3 linked regions of the Astyanax mexicanus genome follow. The main gene of each other region encodes a partner of the protein of the gene in region 3 in a complex. Links are inferred from orthologs where the notes say so. Each region holds a gene or a part of one and is shown on either strand. Other genes may lie near its edges. The genes, in order: ropn1l, nme5 and lrrc23.

What was found.
Region 1: lrrc23 (region 3) and ropn1l share a complex: the UniProt entries of both Homo sapiens proteins name them as parts of the axonemal radial spoke complex. The link is inferred for Astyanax mexicanus from reciprocal best matches to the Homo sapiens genes LRRC23 and ROPN1L.
Region 2: lrrc23 (region 3) and nme5 share a complex: the UniProt entries of both Homo sapiens proteins name them as parts of the axonemal radial spoke complex. The link is inferred for Astyanax mexicanus from reciprocal best matches to the Homo sapiens genes LRRC23 and NME5.

What each region holds. Positions count from the first base shown.
Region 1 is NC_064408.1:99,302,773-99,310,305, forward strand, and holds the start of ropn1l (ropporin-1-like protein), read right to left. Parts: upstream 3,214-7,533; 5' UTR 3,040-3,213; intron 2,948-3,039; 5' UTR 2,896-2,947; coding exon 2,868-2,895; intron 1,706-2,867; coding exon 1,555-1,705; intron 515-1,554; coding exon 391-514; intron 274-390; coding exon 112-273; intron 1-111. Other genes in the region: ndufb4 (NADH dehydrogenase [ubiquinone] 1 beta subcomplex subunit 4), read left to right, coding at 5,425-5,601. UniProt on the Homo sapiens protein: Functions as part of axonemal radial spoke complexes that play an important part in the motility of sperm and cilia. Important for male fertility.
Region 2 is NC_064417.1:28,157,504-28,165,648, forward strand, and holds the start of nme5 (nucleoside diphosphate kinase homolog 5), read right to left. Parts: upstream 3,149-8,145; 5' UTR 2,882-3,148; coding exon 2,747-2,881; intron 1,354-2,746; coding exon 1,148-1,353; intron 1-1,147. Other genes in the region: rack1 (guanine nucleotide-binding protein subunit beta-2-like 1), read right to left, coding at 4,292-4,357, 4,659-4,769, 5,216-5,356, 6,484-6,594, 6,844-6,939, 7,110-7,257, 8,106-8,145. UniProt on the Homo sapiens protein: Functions as part of axonemal radial spoke complexes that play an important part in the motility of sperm and cilia. Does not seem to have nucleoside diphosphate kinase (NDPK) activity.
Region 3 is NC_064420.1:34,902,858-34,911,371, reverse strand, and holds the start of lrrc23 (leucine-rich repeat-containing protein 23), read left to right. Parts: upstream 1-5,215; 5' UTR 5,216-5,347; intron 5,348-5,604; exon of another isoform or gene 5,605-5,605; 5' UTR 5,606-5,947; coding exon 5,948-6,049; intron 6,050-7,083; coding exon 7,084-7,193; intron 7,194-7,299; coding exon 7,300-7,562; intron 7,563-7,682; coding exon 7,683-7,813; intron 7,814-7,904; coding exon 7,905-8,041; intron 8,042-8,514. Other genes in the region: uncharacterized protein si:dkey-32e6.3, read left to right, coding at 1-252, 1,086-1,477, 1,831-1,991, 2,551-2,683, 2,775-2,951. UniProt on the Homo sapiens protein: Essential for sperm motility and male fertility. Plays an important role in the proper assembly of the third radial spoke (RS3) head and the bridge structure between RS2 and RS3 in the sperm flagella.

The sequences.
Region 1 (7,533 bases), on a different chromosome or scaffold from region 3:
CACTTATAATCAAGAGATTTTATAATTCACAGTTACTTTTAAGTATGTTTTTAGCCAAAACAGGATTAAAGATTAATAATCATTTTAATATATTCTTTAGTTGTCACTTACTCCACCCAAAGCACTGCAGCTCAGAGCAAAGAACCCCATCCAGTCAATTTGTTCATCAAAGTTGCCAAGGTCAAGGAGTGTATTGAGCTGTTCAACCGGCAAGCACAAGCCTTTCCACTTCTTCAGCAACTCCTCTTTCATAACAGGTTCTTTTGGTGAAAGCTGTGATTATAAAAAGAAAACAGCGTCAGAATATGTTCAGTTATATTCATTCAAAATGTTACATAACCAAACATTTTTATCACTAATAAAAGAGCTAGCTAGGCTTATGTCACGAACCTGCTTGTGAAGGACCTTGAGCAGGCCTGGAGTAAGCCCAGTGTCTGTCTTTTGTGTTGCTACTGGCATTTCTAGCCTGTCCTTGACTGGCAGAGTTTCACCTTTTGAAAGTGCTGAAAAATATCTTAAGAGGAAATTATGCATTTTAAAAGAAAAACTTAAATAACTGTGGATTACATTTCAAACGTAAGTCTCTTATTAGTGACGTAAGTGACTCATATTTAATGTGCTCTACCTGTGTATGAGCTGTCTTTTGAAAACTTTTCAACATTAGTAATCCTACTCTATTCCTCAAAACTTTTGAAATGTATAGCTCATAACCTTTTAAAGATGATGTGCCAAAAATGACCTCCCTTAAAGCCACAGTATGTGAGAATTGTTTTTTTTGTTTGTTTGTTTGTTTGTTTTTTTCGCTTGTAGGCTACCCCTGCAATTGGCAAGTGGAATTTACACTTTGAGACACCCTTCATTTTATGCTTACATTCAATTTGGGGATTCTGTGATACAGAACCATTATTAAAAGTAAAATAATCATGTGAACAGACACACTTGAGCAGGCTAATATTGCTGGATGTTACACACTTATCATTCAGGTTGCACAGTTCTTGCAGTTTTTTCTACTTTTCCTGCCCACTTCAAAAGAGATACACAGTGCAGTGAGCAGCACACTGAGCCTGGAGTAGCCAGAATACAGACACATTCTCTCTTACATGTCAGTGGAGCTTTACAGATTTTGAAGCTCTTTTTAAGGTAAAAATGCTAAATATGGTTGCTTTAATCCTTTATCATTGAATATGCTTTTGGTTGTTACTGCCCTGTAGTAGTTGTTACTGCCCTGTAATGGTTGTTACTGCCCTGTAGTGGTTGTTACTGCCCTGTAGTGGTTGCCCTGTATTGGGTGTCATTCAATAAGCAGTCCGAGCTGAAACACATTTTAAGGCTTCAGGGTGAATGGGCATGACTAAATTGTTTCAGGCTAAAACTTGTAAGATTTTAAGCGCCGCAGCTATCAGAGCATTGATCCCATGATTGTTCTTGGCTGAAGACGAGAGCTGAAATTGGCCAAATTGGAGAGACAATTTCAACAAACAAAAACAAAGATACAATCACAGTACATGTCATGCAATGTGTTTTTTCACAATCTAGCAAAGTGTACCAACTTACGTGGCAGCCCACTGCAGTACATCAGGTGGCTGTGTTCTAATAGCAGCTTTAGTAAACTGTTTCAAGATATCAGGCAGCTCTGGGGGAATGTTGATCTGCTGGGAGCAGTACATCGTATCTGGAGGAGGCATGTCTCCTGTTAAGAAGTGATCTAGTGAAAACCCAAAAAAGATTAAAGGAAAGTAAAATGTTAGAGAATAAGTTACATTTCAGACAAGCACAACATATCTACTGTAATTTAACTGTAAATCATTGATTTAATGTCTGTCTATTTGCTTATTTAGCTGACTACAAACTACATCCCATAAAATCCATAATCCATAAAATGCCTTTATTTTTTATTATGAAGATGTTTTCTATAAAAAAAGAAACTGATAAGAGCATACTCTGAGCATACTCGGACTTTTATTGTAATCTTGGTGATGCGAGCAGAGAATCTCCAGAGAGCAGATTGCACACTTAAACCTGGAGTCTCTGCTCTGGGTTTGTTAGACCACCGGAGGGCGTCTGATTTTTTATACTGAAAATTAGATTAATTTACTGAAGAAAAAGCAATTTCAATTTTAAATGATAGACCAACAGAAAGTAGAATACAATTGTGAATTGGAATGAAAATGATAAATAAGTTTTAAAGTTTTTATATAATAATAATAATAATAATAATAATAATAATAATAATAATAATAATAATAATAATAATAATAATAATAATAATAATAATGGACACCTCATTTAATGTATTATCTTTTTTTATTTTTATTTTACACTCCAACTGTAATATTGTAGACCATAAAATGATACAGGAACACATGCAGATTTATTCTGAAAACTAAAAACGGTAAAACAAATCATAATATGTTACTTTAGATTAATATAAGCATTCACATTTATCTTTGAGGACAGATCTGCACACTCTTGGTATTTTAATCTTAGTGTCTTCATGAGGGAGAGTCTTTTGGAATAGTTTTCTCAGTGTCTTGAAGGAGTTCCTGGAGGTGCTGAACAATAGTTGCTGCTTTTTATTCACACAGTGAAGCTCCAGCTCATCCCAAATCACCTCAAATCACCATCTCAGTTGGAATGTTTTTTTGTTTACTATGTAATTCTATATATGATTGTGTCCCTTACTCATGTGTTTAATATTAATCTACAAAGTAAAAAAAATAAATAAATAAATAAATAAATAAAGAAAAACATTAAATGAGAATGTGTGTCCAAACTTTTGACTGGTGCTACAGATATACAGGATAGTTTAACGTTATATAGGTTCATAAATTAGCTACAACTGTTGCCTATTAATATAATGTAGCTACCCTTTAATCTAGAGCAAACAACAGTCATCAAGTGTTCAGCCTGACTGTGATGAATTACTCGGCCTGGTTAATCAAGTTTTCTATAAGAACAGAATAAAAATGACCAGTGAGAGACTTAAGCTCAGCTCTTTAAACTCTATTAATCCTCTATAAACACCTTGTAACAACTCACCGGACTCACAATAACACACGGGCTTCCTTCAGCGGACAAAAGAGAGGTTCACTATTAATTTAGATGAAATAAAACATCCTTTAAAACAAAGCTAAACTAGTAAACTAACAGTGAGCTATACTAGCTGTCACCATCCTGAGACCCCCTGCTTTCCCAGCGGCGCACTGTTTGTGTATAGCGCGTTACCTAGCAACACGTTATTGGGTGACTAGAGTGCCCCCTAGAGGGCTCATTTAACATTATGTATAACACTATAAATACAGCTCTGGAAAAATGAGACCACTTTAAAATATTAGAACATTTTTTCATTTAGAGCATTTATTTGCAGAAAATGAGACATGATCAAAGCAATGAAATAGATGCAGTGCTTTAAGACCTCAAATAATGTACAGAACATACATAAAACATAGATATAACATAGATGTAAAATAAAATAAAATATAGAATGAACCAATAATGTTCATTTTACTTATATCATTTTGTAGTGATCTCTCTTTTTTTTTTTGTAGTGGTCTCACTTTTTTCCAGAGATGTTCGGATGCCCAAGTTCAAATTACATATATGGTGAACATTCTAAGTAAATGTAAGTAAATAAATCCTGTATATAAACAGCCTTTAAAAAGAAATAAGATAAAGCAAAATTTTTATTTATTTAAAATTTTTAAGCAACGCATTGTATGTGCATGCACTATTACAATAAATGTGGCACATGTCACATGTGTTTTTTTTTTTTGTTTTTTTTTGGTGTTTTTGTTTTTTTAATCCAATATGTTAAATTAGACTTCCTCTCCCTAAAAATCCCGAGTCGAGTCATTTTACAAGCAGGAATGATGGCCACTCGTTTTTCTTTAGTTAGCTGATTGGTTCTTGCCGTAATATGAATTGTACTAGTTTTCCAATAGGGCTGACGGCTGTGTAGTAACCTGACTTCTGCACAACACAACTGATGGTCCCAACCCCATTAATAAATCAAGAAATTCCACAAATTAACCACGATAAGGCACACCTGAAAACCATTTTAAGTGACCACCTCTTGAAGCTCATTGAGAGAATGCCAAGAGTGTGCAAAGCAGTAATCAGAGCAAAGGGTGGCTGGTTTGAAGAACGCGCTCAAGTTATTTACTCACCTGTTCACCTGTACTTGTGTGATGTATTTATTTATTTTATTGTATTAGTCTGCTTTATATGATTTTGGTGTTGTGGTTTTTACTTTTATGTTTTTTAATTATGAAGATGTTTTCTATCAAAAGAAAAACTGATAAGAGCATACTCTGAGCATAATCGGACTTTTATTGGAATCTGGGTGATGCGAGCAGAGAATCCCCAGAGAGCAGATTGCACACTTAAACCTGGAGTCTCTGCTCTGGGTTTGTTAGACCACCGGAGGGCGTCTATACTGATTTTTTTATACTGAACATTTAATTCATTTATTGAAAACAGAGGAATATCAACTGTTTCTGTACTAAAGATATCGGTTTAAACATTTTAAACTTTAGGTTTAAGCCTTTTAAAAGTGATGTGGCTGTAACTTCAGCATCAGTTTATTCACCAATCAATCAGCTTACAGTAGCAGTAATGCTAGTGTCCGTGTTGCCCAAAAATCGTTTGATGTGGAAGATTAGAAAAATGCAGATGCGATTTCTTTGCTTTGTTAGAGAAATATTCTTATTTACTTTCTTAAATGAAAGAATATCCTGGATGAGTAGTAGGAAACTATTTTTAATTTGAGTTTTTATCCGTTTAGCTCCATTCACCCCATGCATTACGGTCTTACTCGCGGGCTCCCTCTAGTGTTTCTCACCTGTTTTCTAATACAGCTCTGGAAAAATAAGAGACCACTTAAAATGATGGGTTTCTTTTTTAAGAAACTGAAAACCTCTGGAATATAATCAAGAGGAAAATGGATAATCACAAGCCATCAAACTAAGCTAAACTACTTGTTTTTTTGCACTAGGAGTATAACATTATTTAGTTGAAGCGTGTAAGACTGGTGGAGGAGAACATGTCAAGATGCATGCAAACTGTGATTAAAAACCAGGGTTATTCCACCAAATATTGATTTCTGAACTCGTAAAACTTTATTATTATGAACTTGTTTTCTTTGCATTATCTGAGGTCTGAAAGCTCTGCATTTTTTTGTTATTTCAGCCATTTCTTATTTTCTGCAAATAAATGCTCTATCTAATATTTTTATTTGGAATTTGGGAGAAATGTTGTCCGTAAAACAACAGTGTTCATTTTACTCAAATATATACCTGTAAATAGCAAAATCAGAGAAACTGATTCAGAAACTGAAGTGCTCTTAATTTTTCCAGAGCTGTATTATATTGTGTGAGTGTGCAGCAGGTAAATCAGTCCGGGTCAGCTCGCTGGTCGTCTGCAGACATGGCGGACTATAAAGAGGCACCTTTGGCTTCCCGGCCAAAAACGTTGGATCCAGCGGAGTATTTCAATCTTTCTCCGGAATACCGCAGAGCTGAGGAGGAGCGGGCTGCGATCAGAGCCCGGCTGAAGCGGCAGTACCAGATGCAGCTCAACAACCCGCTCAGAAAAGAGCTGATTGTAAGACTTTCCGCCGCTCACCTAGATTAGCTTAGCTAACGTTTACTGGGTTATGTTAGCTTAGCTGTATAACTGTATGAAGCCTGTTAGTGTGTGTATAATGGTATAATATGTGTTCAGGCGGTGTCTACAGTCAATCTGTCCTTTAATTGTATCTAGATTACAGTTTTGAACAGCTTATTTCATGTCCTGATATTTAACAGGTGTTTATTAAAACAGTGACCTTGGTGTATGGTAGAGTAGCTTAGCTACCCTATGCTAATGTTTGCGGTCTGATTAGCTAGCTAGCTAGCTAACCTAACTGAAGACTTTAAACGTCAATAAACGCGTAGAATAAAGTCCTAACGTAACACAGCCTCGCCATCTAACTTGTCTAACTAAGCTCTGGCAGTTTTACTGGTTGTTTCTGTGCCGCTGGTCTATCGGTCGTTGACAGGTGGCGTCACGACGAGCTTCTATTTGTGTTTAGTGCCTTAATGCAGTCAGCCTTGTTCTACCTTATTTTAGATCACTCTCCTACAGAGCCAATAAAGGGACGTGGTGTATTTTATTTACGTTAAGTGGTAAGCACTACATACTAAGTGTAGTGAACCCCTGAAGGGACATGGTGAATTAAAAAAAAGAAAAAAGAAGTATTGGGCACCACATACTAGAGGTGGGCGATACTGGGAATTTTGATATCGATCCGATACCAAGTTAATGCAGGGCCAGTATTGCCGATATTGATACCGATTCCTTTTAATATTTTCAACTTTATAGATTCAAAGGATCCAAAAGACCTAGGATAAAATTTCGCCAAACATTGTGCATGACAACGAAATACTTTACCACAATCAACATTTTTGTTTCGAAACAGTGGCACAGTAAGTTTGCCTTAACATTAGGAAAATAAATATTTTTGAGGTAGAAAAGGAGCAACCACTATACAAAAAAAATTCTCACCTCACTAGACATCTTTTCTAGTTCTTTCTTTATTTGTTTCTTTTTTTTTAAATAGAATTGTTCTTAGGAAAAACAATAAAAAACATAAGTAATTTTTTTACTTTCAGTGCAATTCTATTTTTTCTTAAATAAACAGAGTGTATTATATTTAATAAAATATCCAAAAAAAAAAAGAATACTTAGGTGGTGTCTCTCTCCATACATGTTGGCTGTTTGGCTGGCTCCGCTGAGCCACGTGCAACAACAAAAGACCAGAGTCGGGTTTGGGGGTGCAGCGCTACTCTTACAGACAGTAGACTTTGATGAATCTGTGTGCGCAACAGTTGGTGCGTACAGGAAAGAAAAAAAGCTTGAGTATCGATCTTTTTACACGAGTATTGCTCAATACCAATACCAGCATTTATATCGATATTATCGATCTACCACATACTAAGAGGTGAACCTCTGAAGGGACATTGTGTATACTAAGGGGGTGTTCTGAAGACTTTAATAAGCGCGTAGAATAAAGTCATAACCTAACACGATCAGCACAGGGCGTCTGTGAGCTGATGTATCGAAACCGAGTCGCTGTGCTTTTCTCTGAGCGAGCTGTGATGCTACTCGACAATGCTGCATCAACAGCAGTTCTAAAAGAGACTAAGTCTGACTTCATGTGTATCAGAGGAGGCATGTGCTAGTCTTCTCCATCCTTGTATTGTGGCATCACCCTTGATGTGGGGGTATATTCAGCTGACTAGCAGTTGAATATGTGGGATATTTGGCTCTAGCTTAATAGGAAGAAAATTGGGGAAAATTAGACATACATTTAAAATAATACTAATAATAATAATAATGTGGTTTCTGTAAAACTGAATACAGGAATTAGACCTTCCATGATTTTATAAGTAAACTCTTGGTTGAACAGGAGAAAAATTAAATACAGGTAAAGCCTTCTGTGCTAAGTAAAAATTTCTATATGTTTCTGTAAATGATGTTTCTCTAAAACCTCTG
Region 2 (8,145 bases), on a different chromosome or scaffold from region 3:
AGTGCAATTACACTATAAAAGACTATAAAACAGTTTGTAAGGACAAACTTTGAGAGGACAGTGTTTCTGAGCGGCATGAAAATCTGGGTCATTTTCAATCTTTCTTAAGTACTCTGTTGATGGGTCAAGTCGTTTGCAGACTGAGATGGCTGGGTAAAGATGTGAATGGTGGGGGGGGGGGGGGTCAGTGGTTTGACCTTTCAAATTTGATGGGGTTAAAAACCTCCATGGGGTTATTGTTTTGGGCCAGTGGCTGAGAACTCTGTATATCTACTTTGATTGCTAGCCGGGGGGGGGGGGGGGGGGGATGGGGGGGGATAGGGGGGATAGGGGGGATGTACAAGGATCATAAATTATTTAACCCACCCACTCAAGCCACTGAGCAGAGTAGGACACTGTTCTGTCCAAACCATCACAGGGCACCTAACCTGTAGTAAGATTATATACCATACGAACCTCACTGTTCTTTCTGCAAACTATGTGGGACCATGTGTTTTACTCAACTTTTCATCTGTACTTACGTGATGAGACAATAAACCTTATTTGATTTAAAATGCATTATAAGACACTTGCATAGGCACTTTACCTGCCATCATGTTTATAGGTTACTGACCAAACTTTCTCTATACATACAATACAAATGATATTACTCTATTAACCCCACTGGGATTAATAAAGAAAAAAAGAAAGTCAGCTCGTCAGTTAGTCAGCCTATCTATCCAACTGCGGTGTATCCTAATTTTTAGGTCTGTGTCAGACAATAAGGATTTAAATCTAATAAATACTATTGTATTAAATTAAAAGAGAGGAATGAATCCCTATGGGATATATGGGGCATACCGGCATGTCATGCAATGCCCTATTTTTACTCTTTTGAATTCCTTATAGTACATTTTTGTGTTGCTTAGTGCTATATTTTAAGGGATTAGGATTTTATCTAACGTATTTCTTTTTGTAGTGAAATTTAAATGATAAGGTGTGCAATTGATAATTACAGTAATATTAGCCATGGACATCCATGTTATTACTACTGCTACTAGTAATGATAATAATAATTATAAATATGCAAACTTTTTTTTTTTGCATGCTGTTTTAAATAATCCAGTAGTGCTTGAATCTGAACACATTATCAATCACATTTAATTACCAGTCAGGGTGTGTATCTTTGGCTTTGGAACTGTTGGCTGGTCCCATCAAGTCTTTCCAGGTGGAAATGGCCTGGTGCCTGGCCAGTGCGAGGGCGATGACTGGGCCAGAGCTCATGAAAGCTGTCAGACTGGGAAAAAACAGCTTTCCGTAGTGCTCAGCATAGAAATCGCTGCACTGCTCCGGACTTAACTGAAGCCTCTTTTTCTGTTTTATAACATAAAAAAATAATGAACAGCTGAGCTCTAGTTTAAGAATAATTCCACATATTTTCCTACTGTGCCCTTTCAACTACATAAAACCAAATATCAACCTTTCTCAATTTATATATATATGTAAACATTTTATTTATTATAATTTATTATTTATACATTATTACATTAACATTACTTTATCATTTAAGAAGGTACAGTTTTAACTAGTAAAGATTCCATAGATATCAGTGGTAACACGTGACTTGTGTAGATCTGTAGTTCTATTAACTTTTTAGTTGGATTTGCCCATTGTGGATGGTGTCACTGCTCCCCCAACACCCATCCTACCCAGGGCAAAAAAAACATAAACTTTCTATGTAATTTTATGTACTTTTATGTAACTTTCTATGTGTTTTACATTTTTAACATTTTAAAGATATGGCCAATCAGATAATTATAAATGAACATAGCTGAAAAATATGTATTGAATATATTTAACCCTTTTTCTGTGGCCCCTTAGCACCCCATTGTGGCCCCCAGTCTGAGAACTTCTGATCTAGATAATATACAGCTCTGAAAAAAAAAGAGACCACTTCAATTTCTGCACCAGTTTCTCTGTTTTTGCTATTTATGGGTAGATGTTTGAGTAAAATGAACATTGTTATTTTCTTCTATAAACTACGGACAAAATTTCTCCCAAATTCCAAATAAAAACATTGTCATTTATTTGCAGAAAATGAGAAATGGTTGAAATAACAAAAGAAATGAAGAGCTTTCAGACCTCAAATAATGCAAATAAAACAAGTTCATATTTATTAAGTTTTAAGAGATCAGAAATCAGCATTTGGTGGAACAACCCTGGTTATTAATCACAGTTTTCATGTATCTCGGCATGTCCAGCTTGGTTTGATGTAATCTTCTTCTAGATTATTTTCCAGAGGTTTAAAATTTGGTAAAATCAAAGAAACTTTTAAGTGATCTCTTTTTTTCAGAGCTGTATCTGTCTAGCATCATTCATTTTACTTCAGTCCTGGATATATGGAGATATATGGAGTGCATTATTAGTATCATGACATTCTGGATCACTGACTTCTGTTACAAATCTAATATTCTTGAATTTTATGAATCATATCGTATGCTATAATATAATTTTTATTTTCTTTTTGTGGGTTCTTGAATGTTTAAATTCAGTGTTTTGTCATATCACCAAGAGTGATATCGTGAAAATGCCATAAAATACTGCGATATTATTTTATTTTATCTTGGACTACATATTGTGAATGTTGAGTTTGTACTGAAATATTAGGTTATCTATCTTTATTCAGACTAGGCTTAATTTCGTAACTATTAGTTTGTTCAGTTAACTGGTTAACGTTACTAAGGCTAGGTTATGTAAAGTTTAATACCTGTAAAATCGTGAAGCCGGACTGTAGAATTATGTTCTCGATTTCTTCTGCTTTATCTACAGAGTCCGGTTTAATCAGAGCCAGAGTTCTCTCCAGGAAAAGGCGCTTCTGAGGTAAACTCCGCTCGTCTGCCATAACTCACTCAGCTTTTACAATAAACTACGCCAGCTAACCTAATACAGCTCACTGCTACACTTTAAACTACAGCGAAAACATCCAGTTCAAACCAAACAAAACTTCAGTCCAGATATAAAACCACCATTTAACTGTTTTCTAGACGCCGTTACTTTTTATATCACAATAAATCGTTAATATTGAAATAAAGTCTCAGTATTAAAAGCTAAGCTACGCTATGCTCAGCTAACTAGCGCCAGAGGACTGTTGCTGTGTGGTTGCTTGGTTACCACATGCACGTGACCGCCTTAAACGCCTTTAAACTGAAAAAAGAAAAATATATATAAAATGTAATATTTACTAATAATTATCATACAACATTTAACCACGTTCAGCGTCAGTATAATAAAAACGTTCTAAACGTTTATTTAAAAAAAATAAGGGCCTTTAATGTTGTTGGTTTGCACAATGCTAACCCCAACACAGGAGCAGCAGTTAGTTTTAACTAGTGATTTTATTCCATTTTTAAAACTAAATGCACATATAACTCTTCCCAATATACTCCAATCATTTAAAGACCGTTTATTATTAAAAATAAACAAATTAAAAATATAATTACCAATTACACATGCCTTTTGTCTACCTTTATAACCTATAAATATTTGGCAGGACAATGTTAATAACTGTGCAAAAGTACATTAAAAACAGGAATACTGTGTAATCAACTGGTAAGATGCAAATACGTTTTGCTCACAAACTATTTATTCATATACTAACTTTATTTAGGAATGCACACCGAGTAATACCAGTATTGACAGACAAATCCTTTAATTATTTATTCAGCCAACCTTTCAAAGAGTTGACATTTATTGTATGCCTGAAAAGGATCAGCTCATTTTTTATGAGCTTTAATAGATGTTTATTTAAAAAAAAGAAGGAAAAAAAAAAAAAGAAGTTGTACTTCATAAATTCAGCCTTATGAATTATAGCTGAAAGTCAGTGAAATCAGTAGTTTAATTTCAAATCCGGTGTAGTGGCAGGCAGAGCCTAAACCACTAGGATTGTGTCACTTTCCAAATATTTCAGGACCTACTGGTATCTCTTTGTATCATCTTTTTCAAGAGTTCCTAAACTAATCATTTTCTCGTAGTCATTTAAACATTATCAAAGCTTTACATTTTTTACATTCTGAAAGTAGTCTTTACAAACCAGGTAATAATAAGTAAACAAATCACTTCTGTAAGTCACTCTGGCTAAGAGTTTGCTAAAATACCTTAAATGTAAAATGTCAGCTTTGAAACAACACTGTAAATATACCTGGATAGATAAACTGAAATGGCATCCCAGTCAGTTACATGCAGTGTAGAAAAAGAAAGACAATGACTGAAAGAACTGTGATATATTTATTTAATTGTAAACATTACAAAAAGCCTATCGAGTTCCAATGGTAACCTGCCACACTCTGATCAGGTTGTCAGTGTAGCCAGCAAAGAGAGTCTGTGAAGAGAATGAAAAACAGCAATTTAAACCAGCTGTTTTAATGAACAAAAAAAGGAAATATTAAGGCTTTATTTATACATAATGGAAATATATAAAGAGGTAAAAAAAAATATCCAGACATATGTGGATGGGCCTAATTTAACCCAAACCCCTCATAATTGCAGGACTGTCACCATGCGGTTTCAGATAGTATATGGTTTGATAATCACAGGGGTTTGTCCGGTAAGGCCCTTTTAGTGTTTATTACCCAAAAAACCTAAATATGCATTTTTATAAAAGAATAATAGGTTAAGCTTACTTGTCCATCAGCAGACCAGGCCAAAGCAGTGCATTGAGGGGGCTCGGCCTTGCTGTTTGTGCTGATGACCTCCTGTCTCAGCTCATCAACAATAATTTTACCCTCAAGGTCCTGAAGTGACAAGAGAAAAAAATGCATATGGTCAGTACTGCCCTTATGGATATTAAGAAGTCTTGGAAAAAATCTAAAAAAAGCATACAACATTGTTTTTTAGACAGTTCTCAGAAACAGCCTCTTTTATCATCACAGGACAGCAGAAGGCATTAAAAGGTTCGTCACTGAACTCATCTTATAGTCTCACAAAACAGGCCACCCAAAAGTTGAATGTCAGGATAATTACAATATCAGCTTTTACAGGGTCAACATGTACTAAGTGGCTATTTATTTATTTATTATTATATCAGTGTCATTGTCTTTACATTTCTTTAAAATTGTCTTTAAATGGCAATAAATATTGTTTATCGCAGTTACTTCTGGGAGAGTATATCAACCAAATATTTTGTGACGGATCTATGTCTTGGTATGTTAAGAATGAAAAGAACTGGAGTAGTACTCACCCAGATTTTGATGCTAGGGCCTGTAGCAGCACACAGCCAGTAGCGGTTAGGGCTGAAGCACAGGGCGTTAATCATGTCCCCACCGTCCAGGGTGTACAGGTGCTTTCCCTCATTCAGATCCCACAGCATAGCTTGCCCGTCCTACAACACAAGCAAGAACAAAACACCCACATTTGAGGAGCTGTGGCACAATTCTTACACACACTCAATCAGAAATTAATATAATGTTCAGAAACAGCCTCTTTATCATCACAGAGAGACAGATGGCATTAAAGTTTCATCACCACATTAGAGCTAAGAACTGCAGCTGAAACAACCATTTGTTGGAGATGCTGAACCCATTAGAGCCTCGTATGGAAGCCTACAGCTTTTATTAATGCAAGCGCGTTATTATACTCTAATATTTACCATGTGATATGTCTACCACAGGCAGACTAAGCTTAAAGGAGAACGCCAGTGTTAAATTTACTTTTGGCACCGTTAGCCAACACCACTACACTGATTGACTACTTTGATATGGCGGTGCCTAGAGATCAGGCTACACTACAGGTTGTAAACAGTGGGTTTTAATAAGCCTTTTGTGCACTTTTAAAAGTTACTAATGCCACATTTTAAATGTCAGGGCTCTGTGTGGAGCTACTCTGAGCCTGGATGATGGCGTAAAAAGCGATATCAGGGGCAAGTGCATGTCCTGAATTGGCCATTGTAAAGAGTGCTGGCTGGATCTCGGAAAGCTGCAGGAGAGCGGAGGTAAGCTATTTAACAAAAAGGTTAGTACTCATTTCATGTTTTACTACCCCAAAATCCATTTTACACCGGAGTTGTAAGCTATTTTTTTTTTTAACCCAATTTTACATTTACCCAAATATTACATATGCATCAATTATTTGGCAATTGAAATTAGGTAAAAGGCACAACTAATTTATACCAAGCAATGATGTTTTCTTTGAGAAGCCAGGCAGAAATACATTCAGGCTATTAAAATAATGAAGTGGTTGAAAAAGTGGCAAATTAATAAAACAAAATGATTGCAGGCACATTTTCACATGCCTTCAACTGTGCACTGGTTCCCCATCCTTTAATTTACTTCACATTTTTACTTTACAAATCTCATAATTTGCTATATTCATTATGAATAGTTTTGCCTCCCTATGTTAGTTATTTAAAAAAAGGTTCAGTTCTATACTTATTGCTGATATGTTTGTACTGAATAAAACTTGCAATAGTCAATAGTAAAAGATAACCTTTAGGGCAAGGCAAAGTCATACCTTTCCTCCAGAGGCACAGAGAGAACCATCAGGAGACACAGTGACTGTATTTAGGTATCCTGTGTGGCCAATGTGGTTCGTCTTTAGCTTACAGTTAGCAAGATTCCACACCTGTCAAAAAAGCAAATGCATACATTTTGAGCACTCCGAACCACTATTGGTATAATATGCTCCCACAAATAGACAAAAACACATTACCATTAATCTTCATGCTAAAAATCTTTACCCATCATAATTGCAGGACTTGTCGCCAGAGCCCAAGAGCTCAGATAATGTATGTAGATTTGTAATCATCGGGTAAGGTACAGTAAAGCAGAATCTATTAAGTCTTGAGTTGGGATGAGTGCAATCAAGCCGTACCTTGACCATCTTGTCCCAGCCACAAGACACAATGATGGGGTTGCTGCTGTTTGGGGAGAAACGCACGCAGGACACCCATTCTGAGTGGCTTTCGTCCTGTAGGAGAGAATAAAGGAGATTCAGAACAAAATATATGGACAATATGGAGTATATGGACAAGACAACCATAAACATGGCATAATTGTGCTGGACACAGATAGAATTTGGCCTCTGCCTTTAACCAATCAATGCAGTGCACGCACGCGCCAAGGTATCAACACACTGACCTGGATGGTGTATTTGCACACTCCCAGGGTGTTCCACAACTTGATGGTCTTATCCCTCGACCCAGAAACGATCTGTCTGTTGTCGGCAGAGAACGCTACACTCAGAACATCTTTGGTGTGTCCAACAAAGCGACGGGTTGTGGTGCCACTAGAAGAACAAGGGGTAGAACTCAATAAGACAATTATGCCAGCTATACAAAATTGTGTTTAATATTAGACTGTACAAAAAAGAAAGACCTGTTTCAGTCATGTAAACTCTAGGGCTTATTTAAGCAAAATGAAATGAGTAAAATTATTTTATATTGGTGGTTAAATAGGATACAAAGCCCAACCCAGCAAAGGATTGTGGACCTAATTACTTTACTGACTTGTTAAACAATTAATGCACTTATTTTTTAGAATGAGTGTATGGCTTCATATGTATAAAATTTAGTTTATCTTTTAAAAATACACATTCCAACTCCTGTATAATTTGAATGTTTGGATATTTAAATTATACTTACATTTTTGTATGATTATGCTGTTTTTTATTCATTGCTTTAATTTTTTATTGCTATTTTATTGTAATTGCATTATGCAATCACAATTATATTGCTGGTACAAAATGATTGTCTCTGACTTAGCTTGGGATCCAGCCAACATCAGTATCTGATTTAAATTAATGCACCTGGCTGAATATAAATCAAACCTTGTTCCAACACTTGTCCAACAACAGTTTGTTATTGCAGCAGTGAGGAATAAACTCCTCCAACTTGCTTAATTTAAGATTAAATGCTAAAGGCTTAACACATTTGGACATATAGGGGGAGTTTCCCCAACAGGGATTAAACCTAGTGACAGACTACATTTTCCTTTCAGTGGAACATATTCATTTAGAATTGTATGTATCCCAAAACTACTTTTTGTGAAATCGTCCCAAAATGTAAATTGGTGTGAACTTTGATATTAACAAAACCGGGGCACAAACTTCTCCCCACCTGTTTTCACCACACTCACGTTGTCAGGTCCCACAGACGCAGTGTGCCATCCCAGGACC
Region 3 (8,514 bases):
AAAATTCTTGTGAAATGCCCCAGTCCTCCAAAAATGGTTACCACACCAATAGTGGATGTGAAACAGACACTGGAACTGAGAGAGCTGGAGGTGTAGCATTATCAAATCTGCCGTCAGTCAAGAAGAAGAAAATAGTTATCCACTTCGATCTTAACAACACCATCCTGGTTTCTGATGCTGTTACAAAACAAGGCACAGTTGCTGCTCTTGAATATTATCTGTCCACTGTCACGTGGGGACGGATGGCAAAAGGTAAGGAAATAAACTTTTTTTTATTTATCTAGAATTAACTAATCACCCAACTGACTTTAGCAATGCTCTCAATAAAAAAAATCTTTACAACAGTAATCTACAGTCTAGTTCAGTGATTCTTCACATTTTCAATATAATCCTGATCCATTCAACTACAGCCTGCAGAAGTCATTGATTGGCTGGAAGCGCTGTGTTAGCAAATTGCATGAGCTGAAGGCACATTGTCCTGCACATTTTAGTGTGTTTACTGCTCCATAAGGATCATCTTGAGCTCCTGCAGGGGCCCTCCCACCTGCAGCTAGACAAGGCATTAGATGTAAGCTGTACCACTGGATCCTTCCCTCCTTGTTCCTAATGCTTCAGCATGTGGTTTTCCAGTCTACAAAAGTCTTTGATTGGCTGAGTGGGCTGTGTTAGGATGGTGCAGGAGCTAGCTTTTTAGGAGGAGGGCTGGAGCAGGGTCCTGAAGGCACCATGCCCTGCGCATTTTAGTAATTTCTCTGTTCTCAAAAACACCTGGTTTAACCAATTAGCTTATTAACAAGCACTGTCAGAGAGCTGAAGGGGTGTGTTGCAGCAGGAAATCACTAAATGTCATGTAATGATGCACAATGTGCTTAACTAAATCCAATTAAACAGTATATGTGTGCTCTCTGTAATTTTACCTCAATATTTGTTGATGTTGATCTGTGTTTTATAGCTACTGACAATACAAATACAAATGTATAATGTGTTTGGTTAAATAGGTGTCTTTAAAACTAAGACACACAAAATGTCTCTTACTCTAAATTGTTACTTTTGTATTTATGACTTTGTCATAATTTCCTTTACAGGAAGATGGGAGTGGATGTGCGAGACTCCAACACTTCTTCCACCCTGTGAAGGTGCTGTGACTTACTACTCTCACTTTGGTAGAGTACCGGGCTTTACCTCTGGGCCGGGCAAGCGTTTCCGAAAAGTCCTTGAGGAGCATCTTGAACTCTTGCAGTGGCCTTCCCACCTGCAGCCAGACAAGGAGCTCTCTATTAAAGGAGAAGATGGGAAGCTCTATCACTGGATCCTTCCATCCTTCTTCCAGCTGCTGCAGGACTTGGCTTCCCAGGGACTGGAATTTTCTATCGTGTTCCGCACATTCGGAACCGACCTGCCTCGCGTTTTGTTGGTTGTTCAGCGAGCCCTTGAGCAAGGGACCCATCCACTCTTCCCTGACCTGCCAGCTCTAAAGGTATTGTATTATACCTTTTGTATTATAATTTGGATAGTGGATACATTTATTTTCTTCATTATTTCCATTTAGTATATATTTGTTGTTTGTGTTCCAGCTGCTGATAATTTAAGGTTAGACATGTATATGACTAAAGATTGCGGTGGCTTGTTAATCTTTGACTATAATTGATATTTAAAAAGCTATATAATTATGATATAATCATTATGTAATTATACATTCTTTTTATCTGAATTGTCCCTCTCCTTTTAAACCAAATATCACTATTATCATTACACTCTCTGTATTCAAATTAGTAACTCTGTATGTCCAAAGGCATCCAAAGAATAAAACGTAACATTCTTCCCTTGTAGTTAAGTGTGAATGTAACAGCAGGCCGGATCAGGTGCAGCAATAAAGGTGCAGTTCTGACTTATGGAGAGGAGCGTTTGTCTGCACGAGACGGGGAGAGGAGCCTGTATCAGTTCATGAGTTCTTCACAGGGGCTGAGTGGCTTTCAGGACCATTTTGACTGGTGAGTAACCAGCCAAAAGTATTGAGAGACAGCCTTGTTGTAGTTGTTCCTTTTCTTAAGTGACAGTTAACAACAGTAAACAATCAAGTTTTCCTAAATCTCCCCTCAGTCAAGACAATTTTGAGTCACTGAAGCTACAAGGCTAATAATGCTGACATAGTGGTAGAAGCTTATACCTCAGGCTGATTTGGGGGAAGTTTCCCAGAGATGAATTAAGCCTAGTCAGCATTTTCAATGGAGATTTTAATAAATGGATTTTAATAAGAGTTAATAAATGGGGTCTAGAGCTCAATTTGTTCTGCATTAGCTTTGTAGCTATGTAAATGTAGACGTAAAAAGTATTGATTAGATGGCTTGATTTGGGTTAAAGGTAAAACTTGTTTTGGTTTTAGGGGAGTGGGGCAAAAATGTTAAACAGCCTGGTTCTCTTGTTAATACAAACATGTCATGAAAATCTCAGATCTTAGATTAGTTTTTCACTTGTTGATATATGAATCAAGCAGTTTTTCATATTGACAGTGAAAAAATTGCCAGTCATAATGAACTCTGTTCCCAATAGGTGGGCACAAAATACGTACTCCATTTTGGGAGGGAAACCACTGTGGATTGACCCCTTTGACTCTGCAGTTCAGCATATTTTTATCGATGACAACATCCGGCAAAACGATGAAGACACTATTGTACATCCTAAGGTGTGTAAAAAAAAAAAAAGACTGTCATTTTCTCCTTATAAACCTAAGCTTAAATCAGAGAGTCACCTGTGCTTGTATTCCTCTTATTTAGGTTTTTTTGGATCCAGAGGGTTCACAGACCCGCACGGCCTCCACTTCAGAACTGTATGATCTGTGTTTGGTACAAAATGACCTCTTCAGAGCCATTTCTGACCCCAGCTACTTCATCCAGCGCATACACATCTGCATGGAGAACTACGAAAGGAATCTTCAGCAGGGATTGAACTAGGTTTCACATGTCAATCTGTAGGATGATTGCCTGGGAAAAAAAGATAAAGAAGGAAACATGCTTGTGGTCATGTGATCACATCCATGATAAAATGACCAACTTTTTCATTACTCATGCATCCCGTTAACTTGAATATCTATATGAACCAAATATTGATTTCTGATTCTTTTTGGAGCATTTTTAACAGATAATCTTTGGATCTCTGGTCCCAGCAGCTCAGACTGGAGCTCTGTTGTGTGTACATCTGAAGTGGTATGAATAGCATTTAAGTAAAGTTTTACAAATGTGTTTAGCGCTATAATGCCAAATTGGGAATATGAGGATGGACAGGAGACTAGGTAAGGGCAAGACGAAGAAGAAGGATGGTTCCATAGTAATAATAAGTTATCTCTAATGTAGTAGTGCAAAATATCTCAATACTTGAACTCTTGATAAGCTAAAAAGTACATAGGGTGAGATTTAGCTTTTTTATATTTGATAAAAACAATAAGTATGTTGCTTTATTCAGCAGTTTATCTACCGCCATATATTTAGTACTGATGTTACTGTGATATCATTCAAACCAGCCCAAGTTTGTTCATTTTGGAAGGATGAAGTTTATTTGAGACTCCCAGATGTGCAGACAGTACAAGAGAACAGGCAGGAACATCCATTCTGCAGGATTTAATACTTGAAATTAATTATTATTATTATCCCCTTCTTACATTATCAAGCTGAGGTCTGATTTTTTAAGTTCAGTGTAACCAAATCAAAGCTTGTTAGTGAGGCTTGTCATGTGAACATAGCCTAATTTGCCCCTGCAGTGATGCTGTCTATTCAAGACAGCTGAATACAACAATCATTTTAATAACTGAATCATCTGTTGAATTGCACATCAAGTAGCTTTAGTAGTGTGAAAGTACTGACATTACTTTTAGTAGTGCACACTCTTAGTAGATAAAACGTGGGCAGCTTTTAAACAGGAGGAATGTTTCTGCAGAGAAGTGTCTCAATATCAGTGTTCTCAGGGTTTGAGTTAACATTGAGTAGTATTAAGCATTTTTGTAGGATTATCAAATTCTATTTTACATGTTAGGATCCTTTGTGGATCATACTTGAATTTCTACTTATTTTACATTGGAAGTGAGTTTTTTTTTAACTCTTTAGAATGTATTTTTCATTGTGCTTTACATGCCAAAAGAAAGTGCTGTGAGGTCTGGAAATGAAAGAGTAATGTTTATCAGATTCTGATCTACATTTAGCACTGAATAGAAATTTAGGCCACAAAGTTATATTTTTGTTAATGAAATATAGCTGCAGTATTTTCCTAATATACTGTTAGATTGAGTTGCTGAATTAATGAAAACTAAATGCACTGCATTGTTTACACAAATCAAACTCCCCATTTTCTACTGTGTTTAATTTTAAGATGTATTTATATTTAAGCAGAAAAATTATGCTTTGGAAAACGGTTAAATTTTTTCACTTTAGAATAATTAAAGCTGCACCATGAAAATGAAGTGTAAATTGTTTTACTACTGATAACTGACACTGTGGTGCAGCTGACACTGGGTATTTATTTTAATTTTGAATATATATATTTAATTATATGTTTGAGGCTTTTTTAGCATGTTTTTGTTTGTGTCTTTGCAACTAAAATAAATCCTCAAAAGTTGTGTGTGTCTGCTTACAGCTGTATGTCATCAGATGGCAATAAGAAATGTTAGAATGTTAGAAATGCTTTGACTTTTATTAAAAGTTAGAGAAATTTGTAGGAAAGAATTGCTTTTTGTATTTATAATCCAGCTACATCATATTTTATAGCACTAGTACTGTGATCAGTGGTCATTAAACACATCCAAATTTCTCATTTAAATAACATTTCAAACAATATTAGACAGTACAGTGCAACATGTATATTTTGGGCAAAAAATAACTAGTGTCTTTTTTACAGATTAAGTTTTGAAATAGTGTCACGGGTGACAAACTAAATTTATAAAAGTGACTTCAATTTAAGGTTGTTTTGGGGGTAAGGGATGTGTATTTCACGTGTTTCCTTGTCCTGCTCACCGTGCTTAAAAGCGCACGAGATGCGTAATTACGCACCAAATGCGTAAAAGCTCACGAGATGCGTAATTACGCACCAAATGCGTAAAAGCGCAAGAGATGCGTAATTACGCACAAAATACGTAAAAGTGCACTAGATGCGTTATTAGGCACAAAATACGTAAAAGTGCACTAGATGCGTAATTACGCACTGGGCAAGTAAAGGCTTACTATGTTTCATGGCTTATATCGCCATTGTTGTGTTTTAAATGTTTCACACAAAGACTATTTTACAGTCATGGACCCCCCATTTACCAAACAAGATTGTTTTAATGTGATTTCGGACTATCTATGGAATTCAAGAGGGCTGGGTAAGTGTGTTATATCAGACACCTTATCATCGGATCAGACGGTAATAAAATTGCATCACAGTTGCATTCTCCATTATTTGGTTTGATATAAATAACTTAACACTAATCTCTGTTATGGATTTCTCAGGGCATCTGCTAACTCTTTTAAATTACTCTCTTCATTTTTTCTAACAGGCTGATTTGGCTTTAGTAACAGCAATCTAGTCTAATTTGTTGTAATAGTTGTTTCCTTTTTCCCCCTTTTTTGCTTTTTTCTAGTGGTTTTAGCTTTTTTTAGGGTGTAGGGCTCAGGGAAGGACCGGTCTTTAGTGGAGCGTGCCCAGGGGAGGGTCTTCCTGTTGCCTGGTAACGACTGTACACTTTAGGAGCGGTAAGCTGAACGTTATTCTAGTTAACTGCAGTAAATAAAACGCCAATCAGAAAACAGAAGAATAACGAATAAAATAAAATTGGACATAATGTCTGCTGGCAAAAAGTAGTTCATATTACCCCAGAGTGAGTATTTTATCGGGCTACTGTTAATTAGTAAACTAGGTAGGTTAGCTAACCTCAAGTTAAGTTGCTTCTCCCTAAAACCTTAATTTATATAAACCTAAAACTATGTCATTAACTGACGAGGACGAGCTGTTACACGGCGAATCTGACGAAGAGGGGCAGAAGGAGGAAGAGGCTCAAGAGGAAGAAGCTACTGAACGGGATCAGGTAACCGCGTAACACAATGATGGTGTTTAATCATTTATCCCGGGACACTTAAAATTGCATTATTTTATAAATTTATGCCAAATATATTGTCTAAAAAGATTGACAAACATGCAACAGAATGCCTAAACTAAGTGGATTAACCTTAAAACAGGTAGCTAGCACCCAATGCAAAAATGACCATCATGACTAATTCATCCTAATCTAAACCCTATCTCAAGATCTGTCAGACACTGGAAAATATTCTCCTTTTCCTGAATTCCTGTTGATGAGAATCTGTTCTTTAGCAGACACTAGACATGTCTCTATATAGTACTGTTAGTACATGCCAATGACATCAATACAATAGAAACAGATTAACCAAAGGTATCTTAAACAGAATACAGGTTCTGCAAGCTTAATCAAACACACAGACTATAGACCGCTACATGATCAGACATGTTCTTTTAGCCCTGTCATTCTTCATCAGCTTCTCTCACATCCTGGCTTTTATATAGTAGTAACATACTCTTATTTTTAAACTCCTCCATGCTTGATGAGATTGTTTCAAAATACTGATAAGAGATAAGAAAGAAAATAGCATAAAGAGCTGTCAATAATGTTATTTTAATCCTATCACCCTTTTACTATCTGTGAGTTTTCTGAAATACTTGTCTCGTCACTTTAAACTAAAGTCAGATAACAAACAGATAGGAACAGGGTAAAACTAATATCTGTATCAGCTATTGCAGATAGGTGTCTCACTAGTGTCTGTACATCTCACTTTTTAGTGTTTAAAATTCTTCTTTGTATTTGTTGTATGTGTTCTAAGAAATGCTGTTGAGAATCTGGGCCTCTGAGTCCAATACATAGGTAGTTGATTAATATGAAATCAACTTTAGCATTGATTTATTGGTTCACTTCCGCAGCAGGAGTGGAAAACCTGGATAGCTTCTCTGGTCTATCCTTAGGGGAAGCCTCCAGTAACATGTGTAGCACCTAGGCAAGTACATGAATTAATTTAGCTTTTCTTTGTTTTTCTGGTTTCCTTTTTCCAGATTGAGTCCTGTCCTCTGACACAGGACATGATGGCCCAGAGCCTGTCTTTGCTGTGCCGCACTGGAAACGGACTGGCCCATGCATTTGTCAAAGCTGACCTAAAAGAAAGGTAGTCTTTTTGAGGAATAACTGAGCATAAATTGAACAGAACGTGAGATGAATACTTTTTTAGAAAAATGAAGAATGAGTGTTTTTTTATTTCTGTCTTAACCAAGGAGTCTAACGGATATTGCCTTGCTGAGCTCCTTTGTCCATCTGCGTTTCTTGGACATCTCCTCCAATTTCCTCACAGACTTTTCTCCACTGGCTGCCTTAACACAGCTGCTTTGGCTAAAGGCCGATGGCAATCAACTTCCAGGGTTCAGAGATCAGCCGCTGGGTCAGCTCGCATACCTGCAGTGGCTTAGCTTAGCAGCCAATCGTCTGGGTGATACAGAGGGGCTCGGTGGGCCTGCTCTGGAAAGCCTTAATCTTACTGGTTAGTGCCATCTTTAGACAATTCATTGTTGATTTTGTTTTGAAGTTCATTGAGCAACACTTACAATGAGCTATATTTTATCACTAATTGAGCAATATTCACAATGCTTCGGTTTTTCAGGTAATGGCATTCAGAGGGTGTCTGGCCTTGAATATCACAGGCTGACCAATCTGGTGACACTGGAGCTGAGAGGGAACAGTTTAGAAACTACAGATGGCATTTACCTCCCCAACTTGCGTAATCTTTACTTGGTATCTTGGCATTTTTTGGTTTGTGGTGGATTAAAAAGCAATAACAAGATGAAACATTACACATTACACAATTCTTACTCTGATTGTCTAGGCCCAGAACAAAATTAAACAGTTGGAAGGTTTGGAGAAACTGGAGCGCCTAACAACTCTTCACCTCAGAGGCAACCAGCTAGAAACACTAGATGGTCTGAGTCCAAGTATGAAATCTCTGCAATATCTCAATATCAGGTACATAATTAGATAATAAAATGTCTCAGACATTCTTTCCCTAAAAGCACCAAATTCTGAATCAAGTACACATTGTATACATTTTATCTGGTTAGTTTTGGAGTCTCAAGCACAATGGTACTCATGCATGACGCATATTAACACAAAAGGATTCTGGCACAACATTGGTTATTTTTCTTCTTATGTTGTTTAATTGGTGACGGTAGCCTTACTCAACTTCCTGTAATTGGTTCAAAAGCCCAAACCATCTAGAAAAGTGTTCACACTGCAAATGAACAAAAATATGGTTCAGATGATTCGGACCAAGAAAAACTTAGTATTTTTATTATCTCAGCATTCACAATGTTCTGTGTTCTGAGAATCAGTAATATTTTGACTTTTTTGGTTCAGACCTTGTGATTTTTTAGTTTGGGCATCACAAAAATGTCAGGTGTGCAACAAGCCACAAAATTTGGTTTAACCAAAACAGGTTG